Linked DNA regions of Rattus norvegicus. The main gene of each other region encodes a partner of the protein of the gene in region 2 in a complex. Links are inferred from orthologs where the notes say so. Each region holds a gene or a part of one and is shown on either strand. Other genes may lie near its edges.

Region 1 (9,679 bases), on a different chromosome or scaffold from region 2:
GCTCCTTCACAAGAGTCATGAGAATTCAACTACAGGGTAGATTAAGAAGTCCCATATTAAAATTTGTAATTTATGGCAGTGTGCTGTTACATGCTTGTAATTACAGAACTTGGGAGGCCGGAGGCGGGAGAATCAAAGGTCCAAGGTCATCTTAGATTACAGTGACTTCAAAGCCAGTATGGGCTACATGAGATTGAGTCTCAAATAAGCAAACAAACAAGTAAATAAATGGCTGGGTCTAGGGAAGCATCTTCCTTTAGGGAGTCACCTTTGGAACATCCTTCTAGCAAGCCCCTCATATCTATGATGTAGGAAGGTGCTTTTTGCAATCCCAACCAGGTCAATCCAAAAGAAACAATATGGAAGGATGTCTAAACTCCTGGCCATAGATGGCGGCTACAGATTTGGAAGGCTGAGGCAAGAGTTTCAGGAGTTCAAGATCATTTGTCAAGTCCATGGACAGCCGGGGCTACCTAAGACCCTGTCTCAAAGAGAAAGAGGTGGGGGACCCCACCACAGTGAAGCAAGGTGATACACACGTGATAGGGAAATTGACAATTGTTGGATTCTTCTCCACGAAGAAGTTGTTCTTTGTAAATCTCTTGATGCAAAAGATTAGATATGGAGGCAGCTTGGTGAGCTGGAAGCGCTTCAGGAAGTTCTCCTTATAAGTCTTGTATTCCTACAAAGACAATTTGATGTCATCAGTGCCAGCACTCAGGAGGTACCAGAATGACCGCCTGACCTTTGTTCTGGTTTTTAAACATAACTCTGTATCACACCTAGACTTCAAAAGATACCCAGTCTCAGAAATCACAAAAGAGGCTAAAATCAGCAGTGTGGCAAACATTAAGTAAGAGACCTTGACAACGGGCCGTGTCAGCCAGGGTATGATCACACTGCTGTGTGGGCAAACACAACTAACTAGCTAATTAAACATCAGTTAAAAGCTGAATTTCCACCACACAGATCTTACTTTACTCAAAACAGAGAAAAATGTCTTGACTTAGCAGCAGTGAAGCACCCTCAGTATTCCAAAGGACGTGGTCGTCGACTTTTCTTACACCACTCCTGCGTTAAAGACCTGTGCTGGGGTATAAGAAAACCCTGTGCTCAGCATATAGGAAGCACTGATGTATCTCAAACCAAAGTGCGCATCTGAGAAAAAAATCTTCTGGCTTTGTAAGCAGTCTAGTGGGTCACATGTCCTGTAAGCTCACTCTGCATGGCCCGAGGAGAAAGGGAAGGGCCAGGGCATCTGTCTAGGCCACGGGGTGTAAAGCTGGTGAACTGAGGTGCTTTTCTTTTCTTTTATGTGTTGCCTGTCTGTGAACCATGTGTGCCCACAGACACCAGAAGGCACCAACTCCCCAGAACTGGAGCTACATACAGATGGTCATAAAGCACCATGTGGGAGTTGGAAATTGAACCTAGGTTCTCACAAGAACAATACTCTCAATCCCAGAGCCATCTTTCTAGTACTGTGAATAGTTGTTTCTTTTTTTTTTTTTTTTGGTTCTTTTTTCGGAGCTGGGGACCAAACCCAGGGCCTTGCACTTCCTAGGCAAGCGCTCTACCACTGAGCTAAATCCCCAACCCAAATAGTTGTTTCTTAATACAAATTTTTTATCCTTGTCTGGGGATATAGCCCAGTAGAGCACTTACCTAGCATACATGAGGCCAAACCTTAGCATGGCAAAAAAAAAAAAAAAAAAAAAAAAAAAAAAAAAAAGTTCACATTTAGTTAAGAAATAGGAGTAAAAGAGTAATCATAAGCAGAAAGAAACAACCAAACAAGGCTTCCCTCTGAACTGACCAAGTTCTGAGGATGAAAACAGACTTGAAATCCACAAGTTGCCCAAGAAAATAGAAAATACTTTCAATTTATTACATGTGTGTGTGTACACTTGAGTGTGTGCATGAGAGAGAAAGAGAAAGGGGGGGGGATGTTGGATGAATGTGAGTGTGCATGTGCTACAATTCGCATCTGGAAGGCAGAGGACAATTTCCCGGAGTCCGTGCTTCCCTCCCACTATGGGCTGCATGCACTGATCTAGGGTCTCTAGGCTTACGTCCTAAGTGCTTTTACCTGCTGGGCCGTCTCACTAACACTTGAGAAAATGCTGGTTAACAATCAGAATGTGCCTTCTTCAAAACCATCGGACAATGGCCTTACTAACAGCAAACGAGAGACTCTGACTCTCTAAGTGAGGGACTACAGACCTGCTTCCTTTCCAAACAGCAGTCATTAGAAGGTCATCTAGTAACCTTTACAAAGGAAGGGCTTTGGTGCTTCCTCTAAAATGTTAGTAAAATAAAACGGAATAACTTGTCGAGAAAAATAAGGGTACGTGGCCAACACTGCCCCTCCAGCTCAGAAGAAGAAAACACTACTGCAAAAGAGTGGCGAGGGAACAGGGTCCCCACCCCACCCTGCCTCAGGAGACATCTTCCCAACAGACCAGGGTCATCATTTCCAATATTACCAACAATTTGTTCCTTATGAGTATGCACCCATATTATTAACAAAAATCAAGAGCAAATAGACATATTAAAAACAATTGTCAGCACTGGAAATGGTGGCCTACACTTGTAAGCCAGCACTTGAGTGTTGGAAGGCGAGTCAGGAGTCCAAGGTTCATTCTACAGCAAGTTCTAGGCTAACCTGGCTATATAAGTCCTAACTCAAAAACAAAACAGAATAAAAATAGTAAGTTTTAAAAGGTGAGATCTCTGTATTTACTGTTTCCAAACGTCTAAATTTCTACCGTTCTCTACAGTACTCAAAAGCAGGCATGAACCATGTAAGGAGCTCTACACCAACTGCTCTTCCAGAGGTCCTGAGTTCAATTCCCAGCAACCACGTGGTGACTCACAACCAGCTGTAATGAAATCTGATGCCCTCTTCTGGTGTCTCTGAAGACAGCCACAGTGTACTAATATGTAATAAATAAATAAAAATCTTGAATGAGTGAAAGAAAGAAGGAAAGAAGGAAAGAAGGAAAGAAGGAAAGAAGGAAAGAAAGAAAGAAAGAAAGAAAGAAAGAAAGAAAGAAAGAAAGAAAGAAAGAGAGAGAGAGAGAGAAAGAAAGAAAGAGAGAGAGCCCTAAACACCAGAAGCTGGGAGGCTTGAAAAAGACAACGCACTTAGAGAAAGTATATGAAATGTATGTGCTGACTCTGAAATATGAAAAGACAAGGCGGCTGGGAGTACCCTGTCTGTGGAGTGCTTGCCTTCTTCCAAGGCCCTGCTGTTAACACTGCGAAAGGATGAAAGTTAGAAACAAAGCGACTCAGTTACCTTCTCCGTGATGCCGTTGAACTTGGCCAGGATGTTGAAGAGTGGCACTTGCGGGATAATGAGCTGCTCCTTCTCGTCCTTATAGAGTGGAGCAGTGGGAAGGTCGAGCGTCAGGTACATGAACGTGGACTCCACCATTGTCTCTTGGTACTCCTCATTATGGAGCAGCTGCTCTTTCTCTTCCGCTGGCTGGAAAGGATAAGATGAGAGGATGAGAGAGGACAGGAGAGTGAGCATGGAGCTAACCCTCAGTGTGTGGGAAGAGATCACGGAGCTAACCCACAGAGGACATGGCGCTCCTGTGTGGAAGTGTACTCACACCTTCTCTAGTCTGGAGCCCAAGGAGCTGTATTCGAAACTACCACTGACAATGCTCATTCAGAAACTGGTGGCCCACGCATGCATGTGTGGTCATGAAACTGGAAAGGGATCACTGAACAGGAGGAGGGTGATTGAGTATTTGTGACATGAAGCAAAAAGAGGAACTATTTGTGGAGAAACCTTCCAGGAAGAGGGCACTGGGAACAGGGGACATCAAAAGAGGGATTAATTAGAACCAAGTATAGTGACATATGTGTTTAGAAACGACACAGTCACGCCCATTAATTTATTTATAACTTTTAAAGAAAAAATTGCTATTCACCTTCTGGTTTTATTTATATACCAGACCATTTGAAAAGTTCTCAGATTACAGAAGAACCTTGGCTGAGCCTTCTGGAAAACATACCAGTAACACTTAGTGGTCAGACCACTTTAGCCAACACAACCACAAACTCTGAGGCCACAGCACATTACCACAATAAGGCCAGGGCTGTGAGTGTTTTGTGGAACTTCTTCATGGTATACACTCTGTCCACTCTCTGTGCTCCTGTGCTTTCCCACGCCCCTGAGGTAGCATATAGCAAGCTAAAACTCTTGTTCTGGACACTCACCAGATCAGGATGAGGAAGCTTTTTGGTGAAAATTCTCATTGATCCCTGGAAAACATCATTCACAATAGCTGTACAAGTAAAGAATACAAAGTGTGTGAGGCCAGAAAGCACAACAGGCACACACCCCCAACTTCTAAATTCATTTCAGGTACAAACAAGAACCTCCTGGTGTAAGAATCAAGCTCTCTCTAAGCAAGGAGCCTCCCTTCATACCAGCTATCATCAAGGTGATGTATAATTATCTAATTACACTGTAGCTCTTCCACAGGATAGACACTCTTTCAACAGTGGGCTGGCTCATTTGAAATGAATGAGCGATTTACACATGCATATCGAGGAAGGGATTGAGGGAGGGGTGGAGGGAGAAGTGAGGGAAAGGAACACAGACAGACAGACAGAAGGACAGTGGTAGTGAGCATGAGTGCTGAAGAGCTGGCACAGAAGCTTAGAGCACTTGTTGCTCTTACAGAGAGAACCCAGGTTTGATTCCCAGCACCCACACAATGGCCCACAATCACCCATAACTCTAGTTCCAGGGGCTCCAATACCATCTTTTGACCTCTGAGAGCACTAGGCACACACATGAAACACAAGGCAAAAAGCAGGCAAATTATTCATGCATATGAAATACTTAATAATTTTTAAAACTATCAGTTAAAACTGGGCATAGAACTGGGTATGGTGGCTCACACCTGTAATCCCATCACTTGGGAGGTGGAAGCAGGAAGATCAATAGTTCAAAGGCAACTTCTATTACATGAGACCCTGCCTCAAAACAAGAAACTAAACTACAAAAAAATAAGCAGAGGGAGATGGTCTGATCAATATGGAGCTTCCCACCACACACGAAGACCTGGGTTTGATCCCCAGCACTGCATGCTAAACAAAGTCGGGTAAAGAGTCTTCACCTAATACCAGTCCTGAACCTCCACAGCACACTCGTGCACAAACACACGCGCACACATGCGCACACACACGGTGAAAAGCAGTTCAACCAAGACATTTCTCATAATCACACAGTACCTTCGAAGGGAGGCAATGCAGAACCCACATTGTACATGAGAAAAATAACCAACACAACACAGTAAACAAAAACCCAAGGAAAACTGCAAAGCTCACGGGCTCCTAGAATCCCAGTGAGACACAAGTTGGAGGCCTGAGAGAATGAGCATGGTTGAGTGTACCCCATAGATGGGGCAGAGCATTCTAGAGCAAAACACTACACTCCTTCACCTACGCTCCTTCACCAGCAAAGCCGTCAGAACACAGAGGACAAGAGAGCTGGGTGGGACAAGCCTATTCTCAGGCAGTGCAAACAGGAAGACTGGGAATGTGAGGCAGCCTAGGCAACATGGCAAGACCCTATCTCAAAACACACACACATACACACACAATCAATCAATGAAACAAAAAGGAAGAAAACTAAAGTGCATGATGTCTCCAAACACCTCGCTGGATCTGAAGTCTGTAAGCCACAAGCTACAGCTGGCGTTCAAAATAAACATCAACTGACCACTAAACCAAGAGAGGCTAAGTCAGAGGGACTTGCAGTGTGAGACTCTAAGAGGCCAGCTTTATGGCTCCAAGTACAGAGCCAGGGTCTGTTCTGCCATTCAGCTCCATTCTTCACCAGCTCTATGTAGTGCTGGCAGGAACCTAAGGACTAGAACATAATGACCCAAGTCTTCATTTTAAAATGGGTCAAGATTCCTAGGGCATAATTATATCCAGTTCTGACCTGTTAAAAAATGTTTTAGTCAATGGGTGGTGGTACTTGTCTTCAATCTCAGCACTTGGGAGGCAGAGGTAGGTGATCTGCGTGAGTTCAAGGCCAGCCTGGTGTTCAGAGCCAGTTCCAGAACTACACTGAAACACTGTTTCAAAAAAACAAAAACAAGGGGGCTGGAGAGATGGCTCAGCAAGAGCACTGATGCTCTTCTAGAGGTCATGAGTTCAATTCCCAGCACCCACATGGTGACTCACAACCATGGGATTCTGGCATGCAGGTGTACATGCCCATAGATCCCTCATACTGCTGCCGCCACTGCCGCCACCACAAAATGAGCTTCCCTGGGGCTTGTGACACCCTGACCTCTAAGGGCTCTTGTACTACACATGTGGAATACATAAACTCATGCACTGAGTAAATAAAACTTTAATCTGGGCAGGTGAGGGACTTTAATTGATAGCCAACACTATTAATGAAACAGAGTGCCATTTCAATAAGTGCATACAGAGTGCAATGAGGACAAGCTGAGACTAACTGGTATATCCATCTCTGAACATTCATCACTTCCTTGTGCTCAAAACATTCAAAATCCTCTCTATCTGCTACACCAACATATACAGTCAGTGCTGTCAACCACTGCTACTCTACTGTGTCAGAGACGTTGAGAGCTGCTCTTCCTGCTTATCCTTCTATCTGAGTCCATCCAGTCTCAGGCCTCAGGCAACCAGGGCTCTACTCTGAGCTGCTGGAAGGTCACTTCTGGAGTGATAGCACAGTCATGGCTTCTGTCTGGCTTACTTCACTTAACACAGCATCTTCCAGGCATTTGTGCTTGAAATACCGCTACGGCTAGGTGCGGTGGGGTATATCTGTAATCTCAGTATTTGGGAGGCTGGGTCAGGAGGATCATAAATTCCAAGCCCATCTGGGATACGCAGCAAGACTCTATTTCACTGGAATCAAGCAAATGATTCATGTCCATGAAAGTTACTTGGACAACTGAAGCCCTGTGGTAAACTGAGAAGAGCTGTGTATGCTTAAGAATGGGCACCAAGATCAAAACAGGGCCCTGTTGGGTGTAGCAGTCCTGGATGCCTCTTGGAGGAGGTTACATGTCAGCAGCAGTTTGCCAGAGTACAAAATGCATGTTGTAAGACTTTAAGGAAGTAGGCACTGGCAGGGCAAAGGTCTTGAGGAGGAATGTCTTGTGTTTGAAGACTAAAAACAAGATGGAGTAGTCAGAGGGCCAGAGGAGGGGAGATAGTGAGGAGCAGGAAGGAGGAGAAGGGGAAGCAGGGGAAGCTGAAAGTGGAGAGGCCGAGAAGTGAGAGAGCGGGAGGAGGAACAAGAAGGAAGAAGAGGCAGAGACATGGGAGGAGGAAGAGGAGGAAGAGGAAGAGGAGGGGGAAGAAAGGGATGAGGGAGAGGAGGAGGGAGGGGATGAGAAGACACAGGCACCTGACGGGCAGGGTGGGAGTCTAGAAAGCAGAACATCTGACTTCCACTTTAAGAAGGGGCATCCCTGAAGAGATGGACAAACAAGCCCCGCAGCCTCCCCTTGCCCTCTCTCACCTCCACTCTAACCCATGCATGCTTGCCCGTTCTAGACCCTAGACTCCCTGGGGTTAGGACTGAGCCTAACTCTTCTCCTACCTCTATGCTATGCTGGTGTCCTGAGCACTTTTATGCTTTTCCACAGTGTCAAAATTCACTGACTAATAAATTCATACAGCATCTCAAAAGAAAAGAAAAAGACTGTATTTCAAAGATTAAAAAAGAAAGAAAGAAAGAAAGAAAAAGATAAAACAACAAAAACTAGGGAAAAATAAGCTGAGAATATAACCATACTCTAACACAACACAGAGCAAGGTCTATTAAGCCTAGTGCAGCCTAATTGTAATCCCAACATTTGGGAGGCAGAAGCAGAAGGATCAGGAGTTCAAAGTCATTTGAGCATGGAAGAAACTAAGACAGGAAGAACCTGAGTTCCAGGATAGCTCCAGCTGGCTCGGGCAAGACTTTGTCTCCGATGAGGAAGGTAGATAACACACGCTAACCCCCACTTGTTCCCACCCCAAAGGAAAGAATGAGAAGTGGGCTGGGCGGTGGTGCATACCCTTAATGCCAGCACTCAGGAGGCAGAGGCAGGTGGATCTCCAGGCCAGCCTGGTCTACAGAATGAGTTCTAGGACAGCCAAGGCCACATAAAGAAACCCTGTCACAGAAAAACAAACAAACAAACACAAATGAAAAGGACAGAAGTTATAAAAAGTTTTTTAGTGAGAAAAAAAAGAAAGAAAGAAAATAGGGCTCTTTTGACAAGCATCATGACTTACTCTTTTTCTTCTTCTTGGTGCCTCCCAGAGCTGAGTGCAGAGCATTCAGAAACCAAGACAGGAAGTCAACTCCATCCCCTGGGAAAAAAGGAAAAGAACACGCTGAAGCTCAGAGGCAGGAAAGGAACCAACATGCACTGGCTGGCCTCCTCATCCTCTCCGGCTACTTGTCACATACCCATACTCCGTGCATCCTCCTCTACCTGACCACAAACACCCACACTCCTCAAGGTCAAGCTTACTCTTCAGCCTTCTCTTTCTCTCAAGGTACTTTGGTGACCCTGTCATCATCCAAATGTATCTCATCACCCTGTGATAACAATGAATGAAGACCTTGTAACATCCACTTCTTCAAAGTGGCTCTGACTTCCTCCTTTCCCTACCTTATAAAGACTCTCATGTCTCAGGAAGGTGACTTCTGGTGCTAGTATTAAAAAAGGCATCTAGGGCTGGAGAGATGGCTCAGTGGTTAAGAGCACTGACTGCTCTTCCAGAGGTCCTGAGTTCAAGTCCCAGCAACCACATGGTGGCTCATATCCATCTGTAATGAGATCTGGTGCCGTCTTCTGGTGTGTCTGCAGACAGCTACAGTGTACTCATATAGAATAAATAAATCTTTTCTTTTTAAAGGCATCTACTGTAGAACAAGGGATGCTGGGAACAAGCAGCATTCCTGGCCCTTGATAAGAGTGCCTACGGTGAGACTAACTGCCTCCCTCTCAAGTATTTCTCACCTAATGTCTCTCTCCATTTACTTCCTCTCTGCTCATCTAGTTGAAATCTCTAAGTCTGTATGATCTTCTTTAACTTCATCTACCTGATTCCAAAGGCCTGACAACTCTATAAATCACTTTCCTCCACACACCCCACCCTTTAATTACAACCATAGCAAAAACTACTCCATAGACACCACATACATCTAAGCAACTGACAATACCCATGTCTCAGACACTTGAGAAAACTGTGCTTCACTGACAACACAAACTATGCTATGACAGAAGAAACTAGGCAAGCATAAGTTTATTCTTAGAGTTAAGATTTTTCTGCAATTCTCTAACCAATTAAGCTTTAACTTTGCAAAGCTGTTGAAAGCTAAAGGGAAGACTGATAGATACAACCAGCCATGGCACAAAAAATAGATTTCTCTACAAAAATATTGTATCTTGTTGCAGCCTTGACATAAAAAACGAAAGAGTCCCTGGTTGCACAGAGGACCTGAGTTCAGTTCCCAGCATCCGCAGTGGACTGCCTACCACTGCCTGTGACCCTAGCTACAGGGGATGCAACACCTTCTTCTAGAATCCAAGAACACCTGCACACACATGCACATCTGCCCATACACACATTTAACTATGCACACACATGCACATACCCACCTGCC
Region 2 (9,779 bases):
TACATGCATGTCTGTGTGCCTGGAACCCCAGGAAGCCAGAAGAGGGCATCCGGATCCCCTGGAACTACTGTTACAGACGGTTGTGAGCAGCTGTGTGGGTGCTGGCGAGCAAATCTAGGTCTCTGAAAGAGTCATCTCTTCGCTCTCCCCTTTTAAAAACTCTCTGCAATCCTCCTGCCTCTGTCCCCTCATGTTAATGATACAGGTATAGGGTACTATGCCTTGTCTAGGAATAGGAATTTCTTCCAAGAAGATACACATGCTAAAGCAAGTATAAACCTTAGATAAGTTATGCCGAGTTAAAGAAGTCAGTCACAAAAGACCTCTCTGCTCAAGAATATCTGTATGAAATATTGAACATGTGAACTCTAAGACAGAAATCTGGGGCTGAGGAAGAATGCAGTTCTAATGGCTACAACATTTCTTTCTTGAATGATGAGCATATTCTAGAATTAAATAATGGTGATAACTCAGCAGATATACTAAAACTCATTGAATTGTGCACTTTAAATGAATGTAATAAAACTTGACTCAATAATGTAGTTTAGAAGATGTATAGATGTGTGTGTGTGTGTGTGTGTGTGTGTGTGTGTGTGTGTTAAACATTTCTTGGCAGCAACAAAAATACAGTTTTTTTTTTTTTTCGGAGCTGGGGATCGAACCCAGGGCCTTGCGCTTCCTAGGCAAGCGCTCTACCACTGAGCTAAATCCCCAGCCCCAAAAATACAGTTTTAACTGGGTGGTGGTGGCGTGTTAGAGGACAGACTGTTTACAGAGTGTGTTCCAGGATAGCCAGGCATGTTACACAGAGAAACACTTCCTCAAAAAAAAAATTGATAACAATAATAAAAACAATGAAAACAATGACAAGTTTCTCTACATTCTAAAAAGAATAATGATAATAATATAACGATAATAGAAACAATGTAACAAGTTTCTCTACACTCGTAGCTTATTTTGAAAAGTTTAACACTTTTGCTGGGTGGAGATGGACCAGATCTTTAATCCCAGCTCTCAGGAGGCAGAGGCAGTAAATCTCTTCATTTCAATGACAGTCTGTTCTACATAGCAAGTTCCAGGACAGCCAGGACATTTCTCAAGACAACAAAATAAAAGATGGTTTAACATTTTTTTTTCTTTTTTTCGAAGCTGGGGACCGAACCCAGGGCCTTGTGCTTGCTAGGCAGGCGCTCTTCCACTGAGCTAAATCCCCAACCCAACAACTTTTAAAGAGATTGATTTGTTTTTATTTTATGTATTTGTGTGAGTGTCTGTGTTTGTGCACCACATGTAGACAGGTGGCTATAGAGGTCAGACGCGGGTGTTGGATTGTCTGGAGCTGGAGTTACAAGTGGTTATGAAATGCCCTGTACTTACCTAGGAAGCGCAAGGCCCTGGGTTCGGTCCCCAGCTCCGAGAAAAAAAAAAAAAAAAAAGAAATGCCCTGTAGGAGCTAGGAAGGAAAGCCAGGCCCTCTGCGAGATCAACAAGTGCTGTTAACCACCCTGCCATCTCTCGATCTTCAGAGAATGTGTTATGCATAATCATAGTATGACAGTCAGACTGGAAAACTGACGTTCCTATAATACTATTAATGAAACTACAGACTCTCCTGGAACATTACCAGAACATGGAGCAATGTCTACCACATAGTGACATTCACTGCAAGGACTTTACAATAGTGACCATGATAACATTGACGCGAAACTTGCTACCACTCCCGGGTGTGTCTGCCGGCTGTTTCTAAGGAGTAATATTAGTTTCTGTCCTAACTTTGTTCCTTCTTTTCCTCCCTCCCTCTGCTATTTCTTCTTACTCATCTTCTACTTTGCACTCCTCTCTCCCTCTCCTCTTTTAACAGAGTCGTGCTATGCAGCCCAGATGCCACCTCTTGCCTCAGCCTCCCCAGTGTTGGAAAATACTCTTTCCACAGGTTCATGCTAGGAGTCTGGAAACAGCTTGATGGTAGAGGGACCCTGGGTCAAGTCCTGGGCTCAATTCTTTTCTTTTCTTTCTTCTTTTTTTCGGAGCTGGGGACCGAACCCAGGGCCTTGAGCTTGCTAGGCAAGCGCTCTACCACTGACCTAAATCTCCAAACCCCTGGGCTCAATTCTTAACACTGAGAGAAAGATAAACACAAGAGTTCTATTGTAGCCTTTCGATTGTAACAGTTCTGGCCACCTGGAATTACTTTGTTTCTGATCTTTTACTCCGGTGGAATCCTTTTCATCCACCTTTTTTCATCAGACAGAATACAGACCCTCCTTGCAATACTTGGAAATGCTCTACTGCCAGTTACATCCTCAGTCCTGCTCCTATATTTTTTCCAACCTTCCTTCTAAGGCCTTTATAGGTTCATGATTTACACTGAACAGTTTTTGTCTATAGCATGTTATTATTGCCTGATAGAGGAAAGAGAAGAGAGAAAAGAAAGTCATTACCAATGAAATCCCCCAGAGACATTTCTAAGTTTTCTAGGTTATCTCTTCCCATCTTCCAAGGAAAAACTGTTATTTTATTTTAGCTTTGATACAGTCTCTCTATGTATCCTTGGCTGTACTGGAACTCTCTATGTAGATTAGGTTGGCCTCAAAAACACAGAGATCACCTGCCTCTGCCTCCCAAGTTCTGGGATTGCTATCCTGACTGGCAGGGTTTTTATTTTTATTCTTTATTTTATTGTTTGCTGTGCCAGGCATTAAATCTAGTACCTTACTTAGAATAAGCAAGCATTAACCTCAGAAACCCTGACCCTGAAGTCATTAGCATGCTCTGCTACAAGCTCTACAAGAATCTTTAGGGAGGTTGGGAATTTAGCTCAGTGGTAGAGCGCTTGCCTAGCAAGCACAAGGCCCTGGGTTTGGTCCTCAGCTCCGGGGGGGGGGGGGGGGGGGGAAGACAAGACAAAACGAATCTTTAGGGTTTGGGAGAGATAGCTTAGGGGTTAAAAAGATTTATTGATTTTGCAGGGGACCCCAATTCCTGGTACCCAAGTGGTGGATCATATCTACCTCCATTCCAGGGAATCTAATGTCTTCTTTTAATCTCTCTGGGTACCAGGCATGTTTGTGGTGCACAGGCATACTATGTGAAGGCAAAACATTAATCCATATATTTTTTCTTTTTTCTTTTTTTTTTTTTTGGAGCTGGGGACCGAACCCAGGGCCTTGCGTTTGCTAGGCAAGCGCTCTACCACTGAGCTAAATCCCCAACCCCAATCCATATTTTTTAAAATTAATTTTTAAAAACTATTATTTGGTACACTTTGTTTTGTTTTTGAGGTGTGGTCTTATGTAGCAAAGTTTGGTCTTAAACTCTACAAAGCCAAGGAAGAATTTGAATTTCTTTTTGAAAAAATATTATTTTATGTATATGGGTGTTTGGGTTGCATGTATGTGCACCATGTGTGTTCTGTATCTGCAGAGGGCAGTAGAGGGATCAGATCCTGTAGAATCAGAATTACAGGCAGTTGTGAGGCACCATGTGATTGCTGGGAACCGAACCAGGTTCTCCGGAAGAACAGTCAAGGCTCTTATTCATTCAGTCATTTTTCCAGGCCCAGACTTTTTTTTTTTTTCTTTTTCTTTTTTTCGGAGCTGGGGACCGAACCCAGGGCCTTGAGCTTGCTAGGCAAGAGCTCTACCACTGAGCTAAATCCCCAACCCCCAGGTCCAGACCTTGAATTTATGATCATCCTGTCTTTACAGCTCCCTGTGCCCCACCTCCACTACCCAGTGTCCCACGAGTGCTGAGATCCCTAAGGTCTATGCGTTGCCAGAAATCGAATGAACCAAGGGCCTCCTGTACACCGTACTCTGAGGTTCATTCCCAATCCAGATCATACATTCTTGCCAGACTTCCTTCTGCTTTGGACGTTCCAAGAGTTATTTGACTCTTTGGTACACAGTGAGCACTCTTAACCATAATATAACGAAGGAATAAAAGAACAAAGGATTCATTGAGTAGGAGCTAGTACTGCATATCAGCTCTGAATTCCTGAGAGTAAATACAAGAAAAATGTGCAACGTAGGCAAACTTATTAAAATTGTTATGGCTTTGGCTTTTGGGGAGCAATGTTAAAAGCCAATTAAATGTCAGTTCTATTACAGGCCTCCTAAACCAAACTGACTGGCGGAAGGCGGGGCGTGAGTCTACCCCGGCCCCACCCCTCGCAGTGAAATCCGCTTTTAGACCCGCCTCCCCGACGCGAATTTTACCGTCAATTGGGGTTTTCGCTAATCCATCGAAGCATCTCGCCTCCTATTGGGTGAGCTTCTGAACCTGGTTGCGCACTTCCTGGAGTTGGGAACGCGGAGCGGACGTCGTCTTTCCGCCATTGCTCTGCGAGCCCTGCCGCTACCTAAGTGAGGGACGACAGGTGGGTGGCGGGCGTCTGAGGCTGGGCTGCAAGGCTGTCGAGTGGGCCGAGCGGCCGAGAAGCTGCGCCAGGCCCGGGTCGCGAGCTCTCAGCCCGGCTAGGGTGCAGGCCAGGGCACGCCGGACGTGTTCCATCTTTCTCTTCTGGGCCCGGGCCTAGCTGATTCGTATTGGCTTGCCTCTCCATCCCAGATTCTCCCGGCATGGCCGGAGTGTTTCCTTACAGAGGGCCGGGTAACCCGGTGCCCGGCCCTCTAGCCCCGCTGCCGGATTACATGTCAGAGGAGAAGCTGCAGGAGAAAGGTGAGAGGCGAACGGGAACGGCGCGCGCGGGCTCGAACGTGCAGGCGGATTTCATTTCTTCCCTCTGTAGGCAGGTCATCAGGGGTGTACTTATTAGCAGTATTTACACGTTTTAAAATGTGTTTAAATCATTGAAGGTTTGGAAGCGTCTGTTATTTGCAGGAAGCTAACGTGCGTGCGTGCGTGCGTGTGTGTGTGTGTGTGTGTGCGCGTGTGTATTGTGTGTGTGTGTGATGCGTCAATGGTGACAAAAGCTGTTCCTTTATAGGGATTGCATTACTCTGAAGGGATTAGACAGCAACCCTTCCCTAAACATCAATAGCAAAAATGTCAGGTGTTTTGGGGTAGTAAAATGGCAGTATACTTATCAGTGAGTAGTTCTCCTCTTCACAGCATGCTGAGGGCTACCCCAGGGGCAAGAGTTGGGGGATAATTAGGGTGAATGTGGGCAGCCCTTTTAACTGAGATGCTTTTATAGCTCGAAAATGGCAGCAGTTGCAGGCCAAGCGCTATGCAGAGAAGCGGAAATTCGGGTTTGTGGATGCTCAGAAGGAAGACATGCCCCCAGAACATGTCAGGAAAATCATTCGAGACCATGGAGACATGACCAACAGGAAGTTCCGTCATGACAAAAGGGTCTATTTGGGGTAAGTAACATCCCAGGATAATTTCATATGGAGTTTGGCTTCTTTCCTTTTTCGGCCCCTTCATTGACAGTGTTGGATAGAGGGACTATGGTTTGGAACATGACTTTTTAACTGAGACACAGTTTCCTTGTGTGGGCCTTTCTGCCCTGGAATTAGCTCTGTTGACCATGCTGCTCTAGAATCCACAGGGATCCCCATGCCTCTGCCTCCTAAGAGCTGGGATTAAAGGCAGAGACCATCATGTCCAGCATGGAACATGGCTGTAGACTTTACATAGGATGTTTGTAGAAGTAAAGCCAGGACCACTGGGATTCGGTGATAATTGCCAAGTCTTCTACTTATTTTTGCTTTGTTTTGTCCTGCTGATGTCATTGTTAAATACTATTATTGTTGAACTGTTTGAAGCTCAAGATATGACACACTCTGGATGCTTTTTGGTCACTAGCATTTGGGAGTTTAGGATGTTTAATTCCTGGAGTCTCTCTTACTACTTCTGCAGCAGTAATTGGTAACCAGTGTGGTAGTGTTTGGACGTAATGTCGGCACTGGAGCTGCAGGAGCAGGACTGTCACAGGCTTGAGGCCAGCTCAAGCTGCTCCGTGGAATGCTCCATTAAAAACAACAACAAGAGCCAGATTGGTGGCCAGGCATTTAGTCTCTGTGCACGGGAGACAGAGACAGGAGAATGAATCTTCTGTTCTAGACTGAGTTTCAGGCCAGCTAGGGCTATATAGTAAGACCCTGTCTCAGACAACAACAAACATCATCATCATCATCATCATCATCATTATTATTATTGAAACTTGCTTTTGGTCCTCAATGGATAGACCTTTCCTTTTAGGAGTTTAAGTTTAGTGGCATGGTAAATGAGAGACAAATGGTCACTGTGTAGAGCCATGAATGTGCTGGTATTTACAGGAAGGGCAGAAGGAAGTTGCTTTCAAAGGGACAGGTGTTGGTTTATACAGGCTGATTCCCACTATTGTGGAACTAAGACATTTAAAAGGGAGAGTGGTGTTAGATGGAGATGAGGAGGCCATACTGGAAGTCATGTAGGATCTGCGTCCTAATTTGGGGCTTTGGAATATAAGGCAGCATTTTGTATGGAACACGTGATAACTTTATGGCTTGTCAGCAAGGGACAAATGATGAACACTTAGTTGTTTCTAATTGTTTCTCCTCCTTGTGTTGCAGAGCTCTCAAGTACATGCCTCACGCAGTTCTCAAGCTCCTAGAGAACATGCCCATGCCTTGGGAGCAGATCCGGGATGTGCCTGTGCTGTACCACATCACTGGAGCCATTTCCTTCGTTAACGAGATTCCCTGGGTTATTGAGCCAGTTTACATCTCCCAGTGGGGGTGAGAAGGGCTGAAGTGTGGGGGGAGGTGGCATCTGGTGGGGTGTTGTGGGGGCGGAAGTATTGGCAGTTGAGATCAGTGGGCATGATGCTCTTGCCTTATAGGTCAATGTGGATCATGATGCGTAGAGAAAAAAGAGACAGGAGGCATTTCAAGAGGATGCGTTTTCCCCCTTTTGATGATGAGGAGCCGCCCCTGGATTATGCTGACAACATCTTAGATGTCGAGCCACTGGAAGCCATTCAGCTAGAGCTGGACCCTGAGGAGGATGCCCCTGTGTTGGACTGGTTCTATGACCACCAGCCATTGAGAGATAGTAGGAAGTGAGTGGAACTAATTTCTGTGAGAGTTCTGGAAACAGGAGCTGTGGGAAGGCCGTAGGTAAGAGGCTTGGCTCAATGCCTACCTGATGTGGGCCCTCCATCTTTTCCCTAGGTATGTTAATGGTTCCACCTACCAACGCTGGCAGTTCACATTGCCTATGATGTCCACTCTCTACCGACTGGCCAACCAGCTTCTGACTGACTTGGTAGATGACAACTACTTTTATCTCTTTGATCTAAAGGCCTTCTTTACCTCTAAGGCACTCAACATGGCCATTCCTGGGGGACCCAAATTTGAACCTCTTGTTCGAGACATCAACCTACAGTAAGTTGAGAAAGTATCAATTTTTAGGTACCTCGTGTGTGTTAAAATTTAAAGTTTACCTTAAGATCCTGTATAACAATGGAACTAGACTACTCACTTGACTTTGTGTTGTAGGGATGAAGACTGGAATGAATTCAATGATATTAACAAGATCATCATCCGTCAGCCTATTCGTACTGAGTACAAGATTGCTTTTCCGTACCTCTATAACAACCTCCCACACCATGTCCACCTGACCTGGTAAGATGCTCAGAACACAGCAGTTAGAAAGGGGAAGGCCAGAACACAAGAACAAGTTGGCTGACTCTTTTTGTTATAGGTACCACACTCCTAACGTTGTGTTCATCAAGACTGAGGATCCTGATCTGCCAGCTTTCTACTTTGATCCTCTGATTAACCCAATCTCCCATAGACACTCAGTCAAGGTAAGAGGAAATCACATGCTCTGGAGGGTAGCGAGGAATGAGAGTCTTGGAGATTGAGCTTGGGGTCTTATCCATGCTAGGCAAGTTTTCTGCTACTCAGCAGCCTATGCCCCACTTTTTTCTTTTTGGACATGTAGTGTAGGTTAGCCTAAATTTACTGTGTAGTGTAGGTTAGCCTAAATCATTTACTGTGTAGTTTCAGGTTGGTCTTGCTCATTCAGTCTTTCTGTCTTAGCTTCCTTCTACATACTGGGGTTTCAGGGCTCCTTCCTCAAGCTCAGGAGTTTTGACAGGAACTGATTGCAGTGGGTACTTCTGTAGTATGGTGCTGGAGCTCCTTTGGGAGGCTTTGGGTGGTAAGCAGGTGGGTTGACTTCCTGCTTGGCTCTCGTCTCTACTCCCTTGGCTCCTTTGTCTAGCTCTTTAGGCTTCTTTTACAGGCATCCATTTCATGGCATGTGTAGACATTATGCTTGATCCCGAGAGTTTTCTGCTCATCTCAGCTTTGCGCTCAGTGAGTGGGAAATGAACCCTTGAGGACTTCTTTTTCAGAGCCAAGAGCCACTACCTGATGATGATGAGGAGTTTGAGCTCCCAGAGTTTGTGGAGCCCTTCCTGAAGGATACACCTCTCTATACAGACAATACAGCCAATGGCATCGCACTGCTCTGGGCACCACGGCCCTTCAACCTACGCTCTGGTCGTACCCGCCGGGCCCTCGACATTCCCCTTGTCAAGAACTGGTGAGGTTTCTCCTTAAGGGGTAGTAGATGTACAGTACAGGAGAAAAGGCTGTGTGGTGTACAGTATAGGAGAGAGGCTGGGTGGTGTACAGTATAGGAGAGAGGCTGGGTGGTGTACAGTATAGGAGAGAGGCCGGGTGGTGTACAGTATAGGAGAGAGGCTGGGTGGTGTACAGTATAGGAGAGAGGCTGGGTGGTGTACAGTATAGGAGAGAGGCCGGGTGGTGTACAGTATAGGAGAGAGGCTGGGTGGTGTGCAGTATAAGAGGAAAGGCTGGATAAGTATGCAGCCTTTGCAGAGTGTCTGGAGGATGGGTGGGCAAGGCTCTGATGGGCTTATTTAACCAGGTATCGGGAGCACTGTCCTGCTGGGCAACCTGTGAAAGTTCGAGTCTCCTATCAGAAGCTGCTTAAGTATTATGTGCTGAATGCCCTCAAACATCGGCCTCCCAAAGCGCAGAAGAAGAGGTAAGGTGCTGAAGGCCCCTGCTACACCTTGTGTTCCAAAAATGTCAGTATGTCACTTTAAGTTTCTTCTTTATTTTTACCCAGGTATCTGTTTCGCTCTTTCAAAGCTACCAAATTCTTTCAGTCTACCAAGCTGGACTGGGTGGAGGTCGGGCTGCAGGTTTGCCGCCAGGGCTACAACATGCTTAACCTTCTCATTCACCGTAAGAACCTCAACTATCTGCATTTGGACTATAACTTCAACCTGAAGCCTGTCAAGACGCTCACCACCAAGGTGCCTGTCTGGGACCTCATGGCTCTGACGTGCTTAAGATGGATGGCACTGTGGGATACCTTCTGTGGCCACTCTCATTAATATTCCTTGTGTTCTTGGACTTTTCAGGAAAGAAAAAAATCTCGCTTTGGGAATGCTTTCCATCTGTGTCGGGAAGTACTGCGTTTGACTAAGCTGGTTGTGGATAGTCATGTGCAGTATCGCTTGGGCAATGTAGATGCCTTCCAGGTGAGGCCATGTTGCCTGGACCCCTGCCTGGATGGAGAGATGGGGCGAAGCCTGTGCTGGCTCTGGAGCTGGCTCCGGCTCTAAGGCTAACGGGTGACTTTATTGCAGCTGGCAGATGGATTGCAGTATATATTTGCCCACGTGGGACAGTTGACAGGCATGTATCGATACAAATATAAGCTGATGCGGCAGATCCGCATGTGCAAGGACTTGAAACATCTCATCTATTACCGCTTCAACACGGTGAGACCCTGCCCTCAGTGCCAGCCTTCACATACTCTTGCTTTTTCTTTGCAGTTAGAGCTCT

Evidence for each region.
Region 1: Prpf8 (region 2) and Usp39 share a complex: the UniProt entries of both Homo sapiens proteins name them as parts of the U4/U6-U5 tri-snRNP complex. The link is inferred for Rattus norvegicus from reciprocal best matches to the Homo sapiens genes PRPF8 and USP39.

Annotation. Positions count from the first base shown.
Region 1 is NC_086022.1:105,937,388-105,947,066, forward strand, and holds part of Usp39 (U4/U6.U5 tri-snRNP-associated protein 2), read right to left. Parts: intron 8,377-9,679; coding exon 8,299-8,376; intron 4,302-8,298; coding exon 4,234-4,301; intron 3,491-4,233; coding exon 3,302-3,490; intron 683-3,301; coding exon 540-682; intron 1-539.
Region 2 is NC_086028.1:60,825,470-60,835,248, forward strand, and holds the start of Prpf8 (pre-mRNA-processing-splicing factor 8), read left to right. Parts: upstream 1-4,308; 5' UTR 4,309-4,378; intron 4,379-4,544; exon of another isoform or gene 4,545-4,569; 5' UTR 4,570-4,580; coding exon 4,581-4,680; intron 4,681-5,158; coding exon 5,159-5,327; intron 5,328-6,521; coding exon 6,522-6,686; intron 6,687-6,790; coding exon 6,791-7,009; intron 7,010-7,121; coding exon 7,122-7,334; intron 7,335-7,448; coding exon 7,449-7,574; intron 7,575-7,653; coding exon 7,654-7,759; intron 7,760-8,311; coding exon 8,312-8,502; intron 8,503-8,850; coding exon 8,851-8,970; intron 8,971-9,054; coding exon 9,055-9,244; intron 9,245-9,352; coding exon 9,353-9,472; intron 9,473-9,580; coding exon 9,581-9,715; intron 9,716-9,779. UniProt on the Homo sapiens protein: Plays a role in pre-mRNA splicing as core component of precatalytic, catalytic and postcatalytic spliceosomal complexes, both of the predominant U2-type spliceosome and the minor U12-type spliceosome.